Linked DNA regions of Pelodiscus sinensis. The main gene of each other region encodes a partner of the protein of the gene in region 3 in a complex. Links are inferred from orthologs where the notes say so. Each region holds a gene or a part of one and is shown on either strand. Other genes may lie near its edges. The genes, in order: AHI1, MKS1 and CC2D2A.

Region 1 (3,747 bases), on a different chromosome or scaffold from region 3:
CAGGCTTTTGTTGCGGAATGCCTGGGGTAGAGCAGCTGGGGTGCTGCCGGGTTGGTCCTGCGGGGACCTACCCGGCAGTGCCCCAGCTATTCTGTCCCAGGAGTCCAGATTCAGCCGCTGTTGAAACTGATCAGCGGCTGATTCCAGGAAGCCGGGGGCAGATCAACTCTGCCTAGGGCTTCCTGTAGTCAGCCGCTGATCAGTTTCAGCAGCAGCTGAATCTGGAGCCAGTTCCGACTTACATACAAATTCAACTTAAGAACAAACCTATAGTCCCTATCTTGTACGTAACCCGGGGACTGCCTGTACTTGACTATTCAATTAACTGATATTTAACATCCCTAGTACAGTGGTTGGTTTTGCTCCTGACACTTTTATTTTAGCTGTCATGCAACAAAGATCATATCTGCAGTATGGTCGGAAGTAACACTGGGACACTGGTAAAAAAATTTCTGACAGGTGCAAAAGATAGTTTGCAAGGATCTGAATGTTGCCTCTAACAGCATGGAGAGAGATTCCATGATAGTTTCCACAGGCCACTTTATCCCCTTTCTTAAAAAGGGTAACAATCAAGGTGTCCCTCATTTCACTTGCTATCCTGATTTTCAGGATAAGCAAGCTTAGCTGCTGAATTTACTCTGGTCCACTATCTTTAAAGTTGTCAGCAGGGATCCCATCTGGACCTGCTGTCTTGTTGTTCTTCATCTGCTTAATGGCACTGTATATCTCATGCAAATTGGGAGAGTCTCCAAGCTCATTCCTAGGTCTTTGAGGGATTTGCCCAAGAACTTCATCTGCAACCATGAAATTACGATTAAGACCTTCAAAATGTTTTCTCCACCAAAAATTAATGGTTTAATTGTCCTTTGAAAGTGGGGATGTGAATTCACATCCAGTAGGAATGTGGATGGTTAACCGGCTAACAGGTAAGCCTCACCCATTTGCTACACTTAACTGGTTGAAGCGGGAGGCCCCCTCCATGTAATCGGTTAACTGGTTAAACAATTATTATAACTTGTTAACTAATTAAATGGGACTTTATATCCCTACCACCCAGTTAGTGGTCTTTAGAGGACCTCACTATTAACTTTCCACCTTTCTGAAAACTGACCATTTATTCCTATCCTTTCCCCCCTATCTTTTAACTAGTTACTGATTCAGGACAAGACCTTCCTTTTTATCCCATGACTGGTTATTTTGTTCAAGCACCATTGGTGAGGGAGCCCAAATACACTATATCCACCAGATCACCTTTGTCCATGTTTGTTGATCCCCCCTCTCCTCCCCACATCTCTCCTTCAAATAATTCTAACAGATTGGCAAGACGTGATTTTCCTTGATAAAAGCCATGTTGATTCTTCTTCAAACCGTGTTCACCGATGTGTCTCATAATTCAGTTCTGTATTAGTTTCAACTACTTTGCCCTGTACTGTAACAGCCAGGACCATCTCCAGAGCCTTATTAAAACATTGGCTCTGCAGCATAATCTGCGTTGCCAGCCATTCATTCACTGGAAATTATCTGGGGCCAGGAGAACAGCTCTGGACAGCCCAGCCTCATGCCCCACAGCCCAGGTTATGGGGGTGGCGCCAGCAATGGACATCCGGTATGTAAGGCAGGGGAAGGCTTTACCTTCTCAAACCACCAGGCTTGACCCCACCTACACTCGGCTCCCAGAACGTCTACGCTAGGACTTCTGGGGGTGGAGCGCTGCTGCCCCTATCGACACCCTCCCTGCAGCACTCCACAGCTAGGGGAGACAAGGGCGAGCAGCCACCCCCTCCCCATGGCTGGGCTGCCCCACCTCCCCATGTGGGCAGGGAAAGGGCAGGGCCTCAGCAGAAGGGGCGGGGCTGCAGGTGGGGTGGGGGCTTGTCTCCCCAAGTCCTCCCCCCCTTCACCAGCTACCCACGGTGCCAGGCATCCCTACGCTGAACAAACGCGCCTCCACGGAGTCCTGCCCCAGGACTGGGAAAGCGCAGGGCCCAGGGGAGGCAGCAAAGTGCGAGCGCTGCCCTAGCCCGCGGGAGTCGCTGCACCCCCCCATCCGGGCTCATCCCGGGTGCCTCGGCCAGCAGCGCCCGGCCAGCGCCTCCCGCCGCCAGGGACGCGGGTGCAGTTGCGAGGATCGGGGCCGAGCTCGGGCGTGGGGACGCGTCCAGGGTGGAGACCCAGTTTTCCGCCCCCTCCCACTTTCCCTCCCCGCCAGCGCGCGCAGGGCAGCGGCTCTCACTCACTTCGGCCGGGCTTCTTGCACCGTCTCTAGTTAGGAGTGGCGCGGCGGGTCCCTTCTCCATCCCCCCCCGCCGCCACTTGGTTTCTCCCTCATCCCCCTCCGCCGCCTCGCGCGCTATAGTTTCGCCGACAACAAACAACAGCGTCAGCTGCCAAGGAAACAACGCCTGGCAAACTGCGCCTGCGCTGACAGCGGGACGCGACGTGTTGAATGATCGCTTTACACGCCGGGAAGGAAATAGGGGAACGCACATCCGGGACTTCTTCGGAGGTCACTCTCCCCTCCCGCCCCCCACCAAAAATGCAACGGAAACACACGCGTCACTGCTGAGTCCTGAAGACGGCACGAACACGCGCTACTTAAAATTAAGGGAGGCCGTTGCGGGAGGGAGGGGCAAGGCGCATGCGCTTGAGACTGAGGCAGGGGAAGGAGTTGGGCGAGACGTGGCGCGCGCGCGCAAGAAGTGGGGCGTTCTGATGCCAGCGTGCAGGGCGCCGAGATGGTTTCGCCCCGTGCGCCAGGCTAAGGGCCCTGCCGCCGGTTCTGGCCTTGGCACGGGTCGAGTTCGAGGCCGCCCGCGCTGGCTGAGTGAAGGGAGGGGCCGGGCGTTCTGGGCCTGCCCCAAGCCTAGTAAGCGACGGGAGGGCTCCTGCTGAAACCAGCGGGCCCGTTGCCCGGCCCTTCCCTGCTGCCATGGCGCCCTGCCCGGGGGTCTGGTCAGTTTCACTCGCGCGCTCCCTGCAATAGAGCCCGCCACCTGGCTTAGGAGTGGAGAACTGGCCCCTCAGCCGCGGGCGCCAGAGACCCCTCCTTAAAGTTAGACCCCTTGGATTTCAAACTTGAGGTCACTTGAAAGCGGCATGTCCTGCTCCCAGAGGCAGTTCTTAAACGCAAGGAGATTTTGAGCTGCTCGCAGCTTTGCCTTTGGGGCAGGGAGTTTGTTATAAAAAGAAGGGAGGCAGGTGCTTAAGCATAAGGCTGGGCCTTCCAGTAATTAAGCTCATTAGATCTTCATGAAAACATGGCCAGGCACTCTACAGGTAGTCCCCAACTCACTAACGAGTTAAGCACCAAGCACTTGGTCGTAAAGACGTGTTCATAAGTTGGACCCCATTCATTTCAATGGGACCGTGCTGTTCGTAAGCGTGGATTGCTGTTTGTAAATCGGGGCCGTGCTTAATGGGAAGTTGGTTGTGAGTGCAGCGGGTCGTACGTCGCTGTGTTTGTAAGTTGGGGACTAGTACTTAAAAGATAGGAGAAAAGAAAAGAGGAGGAATGTGAATGACTAGCTAACAGGCTAATTGACTAGTTACTCCCCCCCCCCCCCCTGCCTCTATGAGAAAGAGGCAGTAACGGGGGAAAGAGGAGGAGGTGCTTCAAAGCAGCAGTGGAAGGGGCCCCTCACTTTCCCCTGCTAACCCTGGGCTCCCTGTAGCATTGCTGCTTTGAAACACCACTGGGAGCATGGGGCTAGCAGGAAACTACTGGCACTGTGGGGGGTGTTGCTACAC
Region 2 (3,747 bases), on a different chromosome or scaffold from region 3:
AGTAGACATTTTCTAACCTACTCTTAAATATCCCCAGAGATGGAGATTCCACAACCTCCCTATGTAATTTATTCGTGTTTAACCGCCCTGACAGTAACTTTTTCCTAATGTCCAACCTAAACCTCCCTTGCTGCAGTTTAAGCTCACTGCCTCTTGTTCTATCCTCAGAGACCAGGAAGAACAAGTTTTCTCCCTCCTCCTTCTGACACCCTTTTAGATACCTGAAAACCACTATCATGTCCCCTCTTAATCTTTTCTTTTCCAAACTAAACAAGCCCAATTCTTTCAGTCTTCCTTTACAGCTCATGTACCCTAGACCTTTAATCATTCTTGTTTAATGAGTACCCTCCACTCATCCCCTACAGACATGGACAAGATGGCACAGGCAAGCAGTTGGGATAATTCTAAATCAGAAACATGTTCCATTTTCTCCTAGTGGAGTTTAGAGGCTGCAGTGGCCATGAGAGGCTAGAGAATATAAACCATATTGAACTGCAGCAGCACGTATATCTCTAACTGTGAGCCAGAGGAACAGGCCCTCCATTCTGCTCTGGGACCTGGAGATGAAGCCAAGTCCCCTTGCACTGGACACACACTATCCACTATACTATTCTGAGTACTATCTGCCACTTGAGGGGTCACTTCCAGCCTTCTGCTTATTCACCTGGCTGAAGAGTTTATCTTGCCAGCCAATCACGGCCTCCTCTTCCTCATCGTCGGCACGATAGCCACCTGAAAGACAATAGGGGGCTGGTCACTTCTTCACACATGTGCTTCTTCCCTCCACGTTGAACAGGATTGGTTCCAGGATAGACCCTTGAGGGACCCCACTAGTTACCTCTCTCCACTCTGAAAACTTATCATTTATTCCTACCCTTTGGTTCCTGTCTTTTATCCAGTTATCAATCCATGAAAGGACCTTTCCTCTTATCCCATGACAACTTACTTTACTTAAGAGCCTTTGGTGAGGGAAATTGTCAAAGGCTTTCTGGAAATATCCACTGTTAGTTCATGGGGGCTAACGTTATCTATGGCTATAAACCAAGATGATCAGGAATGCACCCTTATGCTCTGGATATCACTAGCTTCTGATTCCCAAAAGCTGGGAATAAGTGACGGGAAGAATCACTTAATGATTGCCTCTTCAGTTCATTCCTTCTGGGGCCCCTGGTACCAGCTGCTGTTAGAAGACAAGATATGGGGATAAATGGATCATTGATATGATGCAATGTTACTATTTTTATGTTCTTCTGCTCACAGCCAGTCTCACTTTTCAGCAAGAGAAAAGACAATGAGCCCTGTGAGTGGAATAGCCCTGGAAGCCTGTTTTGCAACTAGGTATAATGCTCAATTGGCAATACAAATGCCTAAGGTCAAAGAGGGTGGAATTTCCTTCTTCAACATGATGCACCAAGAAAAAGAAACAAGAATTGGAAGGTGCTTCTTCACTAAGAAAAAGATGTGTTCTCATTGCAAATTAACTAACAGTTGATAACTAAAAAGATCAAATCCCAAAGTCTGCGGTCAGCACATGTATTAGCAAATTGAGCCAAGTATTTTGCAAGACTTTACTCTGAGGTGCTAACATGTAAAAACTACCAAGTGGCTTGTCCTCACTAGGATTTGACCTTGTAGTTGCTAACGAGGTCAAGGCACACCTTTTCCCTAGCAAAGATGCACCCACTCTGACACCTTATCCTACCACAGGTATTAAATCCCTGTCTCACCAGTTGCTCCCTGGCTGGGAAAAGGAGGCACTTCCTACCACTATCAGAATATCCAGGGGGAGAAACGGGGCACCTGTTCCATCCACAGGTAGGACAGGTCTTCATATGAGGTAGCCCAGAGAAGCTGAGGCTGTCCTGTACTCTGTGGGGTTGAAAGGTGTAAAAATGCCATCTCCCCTCCACTGAGATTGCTGCAAGTCCGGCATCTCTCCCTGCCTGCGACCTGTGCAGTGGGGCTTCGGCCAAGTGGCAGAAGCCATTGTGAGGCCTTGCACAGGAGAGATGGGTCCCCATCCGACACCAGCCATGAACCACCTACTTGTTGCTGGATGGGAGCTGAAGGTGGCCAGGCTGATGAGATCCTTCCCCTGCTGCTGGCTAGAGGGCTGCTGGAGCTGCTGCAGGAGCAGGCTGGTGGAAGTGACATGCTGGACATGCACCCTGGGCAGGGAGGAGCACCAGGCTGGAGTCAGCAGGCTGCCCAGGGCAGGGGAGGGAGGAAGGCGCCAGGGGCCGCTTGCCTGGGCCCTCCCCAGGCACCCCAGCCTGCTGTGCCACAACAACGCCCCAAAGGGGCCCAGGTACCCTCCATGGGACACCCCACACTCCCCGACACCCCACACTCCCCGCCCCCCCCCCGACACCCCACCCCCCGACACCCCACACTCCCTGCCCCCCCACGACACCCCACACCCCTCCCCCGACACCCCACACTCCCCGCCCCCCCCGACACCACACCCCCCGACACCCCACACTCCCTGCCCCCCCCACGACACCCCGCCCCCCCGGAACACCCCGCGGGCCCTGACCGGACGCGCAGGCCCCGCACGGGGTCCCGGGAGCGATACACCGCCCCCCCCGCCTCCGCGCTCCAGCACGGCTCCGCCATGGCCCGGCCCGAAAGCGCGTCCGCGCCCCATGGAGATGGGCGGGGCCTCTGCTGAGCATGCGCGGCCCGTCTCCCCTGGCCGGGGGGGGGTGCGGGCTCTGCGGGGGCCGGGGGGGTGTGCTGGGTCGGGGGGGGAGGGGTGCGGGCTCTGCGCAGAGCCTGCGACGGGGGCTTGCCCGGCAGCCAGGGAACAGGCACGTCGCTTGCCCCACAGTAGACGCACACTAGGTCAAAAGACAAGGACCCCCCTTGGGGGGCGGGGCGGGGAGGGGGCCGGCCTGGCTTTCCAGCTCTGCGGACTCCCGAGAGCTGCAGGTTCTCTCCTGAGACTCGTGTCCGAACCAGCGCCGTGGGACATCCCCATGCGCTCACAAATGCTTTGGCTTGGTTATTTCCTTTCCAAAGAAATGCGTTTGTGCGTTTGCTCTGTTCAGTGACGGGATGGACCGGGGTGCAAGGCTGGACCTAGAACATGTACCCAGCATCGATTTTTGCGTGGCTGGGCATAATATTCACCAATACAGCTGGGCGTGACTATGTGGTGGTTGTTCACTAGCAAAGCTTTGTATGAGACAGTCCTGGCTAGAGAACCAAACGGACACAAGCGCTCAGATGTCATCTGCTCAAGAGCAGGAGAATTTGCATCTTGTGGCTATAGCCTGGACCATGGCTATATGAAGTGGTACTGTCCCAACCCTCTCAGTTCTTTTGCACTGAAGAACAAACTGATGCAAAGGAAATGGAGGGTGGGTCGCTGGAACACACATCTGCATGATGTCTCCCAGAACCACAGTTACAGTAATTACTCATTTAACATGTGCCGCTTAATACGTTTTTGCAATAGCATGATTTTTTTTTTAGGGAATGTTTTTCGAATAACACAACCATTCCCAAAATAACACAAAAATAATCAAGTGGCAGACTACTTTATGTGGCGGTATAAGTTTGTGAAAACAGTGGTAATATGCATGAGCAGATGAGTACACATGGTCACAGTGCTCCTCCCTTCACTCGTGATTATCTTTGTGTTTTAACAAACTGCAGTGACTTGTGTTGCTAGAGATCTAACACCAACAAAAAACTGACTTTGCCATTGCCATCTGAAATGCAACCCCCACCTTTTCCATTATT
Region 3 (3,747 bases):
ATCACTAACTCCTACCCCTGGCATGAACCCAGTCCTGTATCCAAGCCCTTATCATTGCTCTGAGCACCCATGCATCCAAATACCCTGCCAAAGCCTGCACCTAGAACTCCACAGTAAATGCATGCTCCAAGAGCTGATCAGAGCCCTTCTCACACTCCAGATCCCTTAAGCAAAGACCAGAGCATGTGCACCCAACCGTCTGTCCCAGGCTGATGAAAGAGACTGAGGATGGGCAAGAGAGGGAGGATAGAGGGAGCAGGATCTGGGACTTGGAGAAGGGGTAAGAAGGAAGCGGGAAAAGGGTATTTATATATAAGGTACATATTGGATTGCACTTTCAAAATGTTGGAGCCCCCTGCTCTGAGTTCTCTGACCCATGTCCCCATTGACTACGGGAGGAATCACTAAAATTTCACTTGGCCATGTTGGCGAGGAGTCCTGTGGCACCTTATAGACGAACTGAAGATAGTGCCACAGGACTCCTCAACGATTCTTCATATTCAGACTAACACAGCTACCCCTCCGATACTTGCCCATGTTTGGTGATGAGGATCTGGGACGGAGTTTGGGTGCATGAGGGGTGCTTGCTAGGGGGAGTTTGGGGGACAGGTGTGGGATCTGCCATGGGTCAGGGGATTGCAGTACAGGTGAGGGTGTGGATGGGAGGGACTTTAGCATATCAGCATAGTACACAAGAGAAAGGAGATGCAGTGACTTCTGATAGAGAAACAAAGAGAAAACTATTAAATACTAAAAAAGTGAGAGGCAGAGTTTGAGACAGGAACTGTATGTAGAATATTTCACACTTGTACATATACAGAGGAACGGTGGTGTCTAAGCATTGACCGTCTAGGAATTGGGAGGCCTGTGCCTTTAAGAACTCAAGCCCAGGAGCCCGCCCCCTGCTCGGGGGCTGACAGGCAGCGTCCAGGGAAAATAAAGAAAAAAAAAGACTTTGCCCCTGGAAAACTGATATTTTCAAGGACATCAGGTGGCTTGTCCTGCTGGATGACTGTTCCCACCTCTCCCCCTCCCTAAACGGGGGTTTTCTCCGTGCACAGGGTCTGGCAGTGTCCCCCAGCCCGGGGTTAACCAAGGCTACCACCCCCCACCCCCCTGATTTTTCAAATTTTGCCCCTCTTCTGCAGCTAAAAAAAGAAGATTGATGCCTCCAGCCGGTAAATTTCTGCCCCATGCTCAGAACCAGACACTACCCCCCCTGCAATTTGCCCCCCTTCATCATTTTAAACACCTCCGAAGAGGAGGAAGCAAATCTGAGGAGGCAGTGAGGGCAGAGAGTGGGCAGCGGCTACAGCGAGGGACACTGAGTTTGCTCAGTTCGGGTGCGCATGCTCAGTGCACCCAAAGTAGCAAATTCTGAGAAGTTAGTGTTTTGCTCGCTACACCGGCGCCGCCCCAGTCCCGGAGCTGCCCCAGCAGGCTCCTCCCCCACCCCAAGAAAAGTGGGAGCTGGAGGCGCGGCCACAGCGGCGTCGGAAGCTCGTAGGCAAGGGGTGGAGGCTGCGGCCCGGGAATCCCCCCCGATCACTCAGACACTTACTGCGCGGTGTCCGGGCGCTGGCAGCAGGCGCCGCCATCCCGGCCGGGTCCTCCTCCTCCTCCTCCGCCAGCGAAACAGCGGGACCAACGGCCTCCAGCAGCTGGGGGGGGAGGAGGGGAAAGGAACCGCACGTCAGGGGGCGCTGCACAGCGCGAAGGGCCCCTCCCCGTCACCCGGATGTGCTCCGCGCCCGCCCTGGTCACCGCTCTGCGAGTCCACCGTCCCGCTCCCGCCAGGCAAAGCTCTCTGCGCGGTGCCTAGCAACCCGCCGCCCGCGCTCGCGCGCATGCGCGGCAGGTCTGCTGGCCCTCCGGAGAGGAAGCTGCCGCGGCAACCGACTGCGCGAACGTGAAAGGGTCGCCCCGCCCCCGAACTCACGGGCTGCTTTCTTCCCCGCCTCTGAGCCGTCAGCGTCTGCCTCAGCTGCGCCCCGTGGGCCGGCGCCTCCCGCCCGCCGCGGGAGGGAAAGGCACAGGGGTTAGCCCGCCGTGGGGCTCGGCGGGTGCCGCCAGTGGAGCCCCGCCCTCGTGTTGGGCATCGTCCCACGCAGGGGCGCTAAGCGCGGTGGGAGCTGGGCCCCAGCTCTGCCGGGCGTCGTCTAGTTAACGCGGCTGCTTATCGGCCGGGCCTCGGCTAACTTGCGCTCGGCACTGGGCTCGCGCCTGCAGCTTATCTGCGGGGCCGGCTACCCTCGTGCCGACTCCATGGCATGGAAACCTGCAAACTTCACAGCTCCTCGGGGGCTGCGACATAGAACCGTTAGCTCCGAGTAAAACAACCCTTCGTCACTTCAAGAACAGTTTCACAGTTTTTGAAAACTTGGTGTCGTAACTAACTCACATGATCACAAAGATTGTGCATTTATTTCATATTGCCTATAATTAAAGTGGACTTGTATATAACGTGCATATGGCCATTCCAGTTGCCTTCCATTTAACCTGTCTATGGTACTTGTCTGTCCTTAGATTTTGAACTCAGAGGCAGGACTGTCCTTTTTTGAGTATTTGGAAAATGCCCCCTACACAGCAAGCACTACAATAATTACTAATGTAATATAAAAAGCATCTTATGCTCAATGATTTAGGAATAACATTAAAAACTAGTGTTTGTTAAATATAGTGCATTGTATTATGTTTGATTGATTTGCACAGAAATACATTTTTTCTTAATAGCCACATATAATCCCTATCAATTATAATGAGTCACTTGCATTTACCCAAAGGACAATTAACTCCTATATTACGAAATCTGTATATTACTATTTAGTAACTAGCAAAAGTGTGATATGAACAAAACCCTATCATACTTTTTAGAAAGAAAGAAATGCCCCATAATCCATCTATGCATTTACTGTAACTAATCAGACTAACCTCCATAGCCATAATCTGGGATTCTTCATTGAAATTCATGTTTGCAGCAATTGATACCTGCCTGTAATACAAAAATTATTAAAATCAGATGTACACATTAATGCACAAGCACTCATCATGCAACAGACTTCACAAAGGAATACCTCTGCATCCAGTGGACCCTATTAACTTAGAAGTAACGTTAAAAATATTTAACACTTGAAAAAAACAGTTTTATGGTTTTGAAAACGGAATAATTTCCTGCTATTTGTAGCCAGGACATATGATCTTCAGAATATATCTACAAGGTTTTTTTTATAATTCCCTATAAAAGTGAATCAAGTCGACAAATATAAATTGTGTATGAGTTACCCATTATTGTAAAGCATCTACAAACTGTCCATGATTGGTCCATATACAGTTTATTGCAAGAATGGTGTTCCTTCTCACTTTTAGCTGGTTCATTCTTGCCAAATCTGAAATTTACAGATGTTCCTAAAGCTTTGTCTGCATGATGAAGTTAGTGATTTAATTCAAACTGTTCAGAAAATGATTCAGCCTATATAGGTACACCCTCCATGATTTGTAACTGCTACCTTGATTTAAGAGCTCTGATATCTATTTAGTTTATGTCAGTAAGGAATCAATTTCAAATAAATCTGTTTAAGGCACTCTTAAATCCAAATGAGAGCTCAGGTTACACGGTTGCAAGCTGTATGTACCCTGTTGGATCTCTGCATAAACCTCAACTCCAGATAAGGGATAAATTCCCTCCCTAGTACCTCAGGCTGTGTCCAGACTCAGGGGTTTTTTCGAAAAAAGTAGCCTTTTTTCGAA

Evidence for each region.
Region 1: CC2D2A (region 3) and AHI1 share a complex: the UniProt entries of both Homo sapiens proteins name them as parts of the tectonic-like complex. The link is inferred for Pelodiscus sinensis from reciprocal best matches to the Homo sapiens genes CC2D2A and AHI1.
Region 2: CC2D2A (region 3) and MKS1 share a complex: the UniProt entries of both Homo sapiens proteins name them as parts of the tectonic-like complex. The link is inferred for Pelodiscus sinensis from reciprocal best matches to the Homo sapiens genes CC2D2A and MKS1.

The regions. Positions count from the first base shown.
Region 1 is NC_134713.1:96,669,299-96,673,045, forward strand, and holds the start of AHI1 (jouberin), read right to left. Parts: upstream 2,428-3,747; 5' UTR 2,238-2,427; intron 1-2,237. UniProt on the Homo sapiens protein: Involved in vesicle trafficking and required for ciliogenesis, formation of primary non-motile cilium, and recruitment of RAB8A to the basal body of primary cilium.
Region 2 is NC_134731.1:16,308,385-16,312,131, forward strand, and holds the start of MKS1 (tectonic-like complex member MKS1), read right to left. Parts: upstream 2,695-3,747; 5' UTR 2,676-2,694; coding exon of another isoform or gene 2,617-2,675; coding exon 2,537-2,616; intron 2,169-2,536; coding exon 2,047-2,168; intron 733-2,046; coding exon 665-732; intron 1-664. UniProt on the Homo sapiens protein: Component of the tectonic-like complex, a complex localized at the transition zone of primary cilia and acting as a barrier that prevents diffusion of transmembrane proteins between the cilia and plasma membranes.
Region 3 is NC_134715.1:107,494,310-107,498,056, forward strand, and holds the start of CC2D2A (coiled-coil and C2 domain-containing protein 2A), read right to left. Parts: upstream 2,338-3,747; 5' UTR 1,940-2,337; intron 1,890-1,939; exon of another isoform or gene 1,662-1,889; 5' UTR 1,599-1,661; coding exon 1,562-1,598; intron 1-1,561. UniProt on the Homo sapiens protein: Component of the tectonic-like complex, a complex localized at the transition zone of primary cilia and acting as a barrier that prevents diffusion of transmembrane proteins between the cilia and plasma membranes.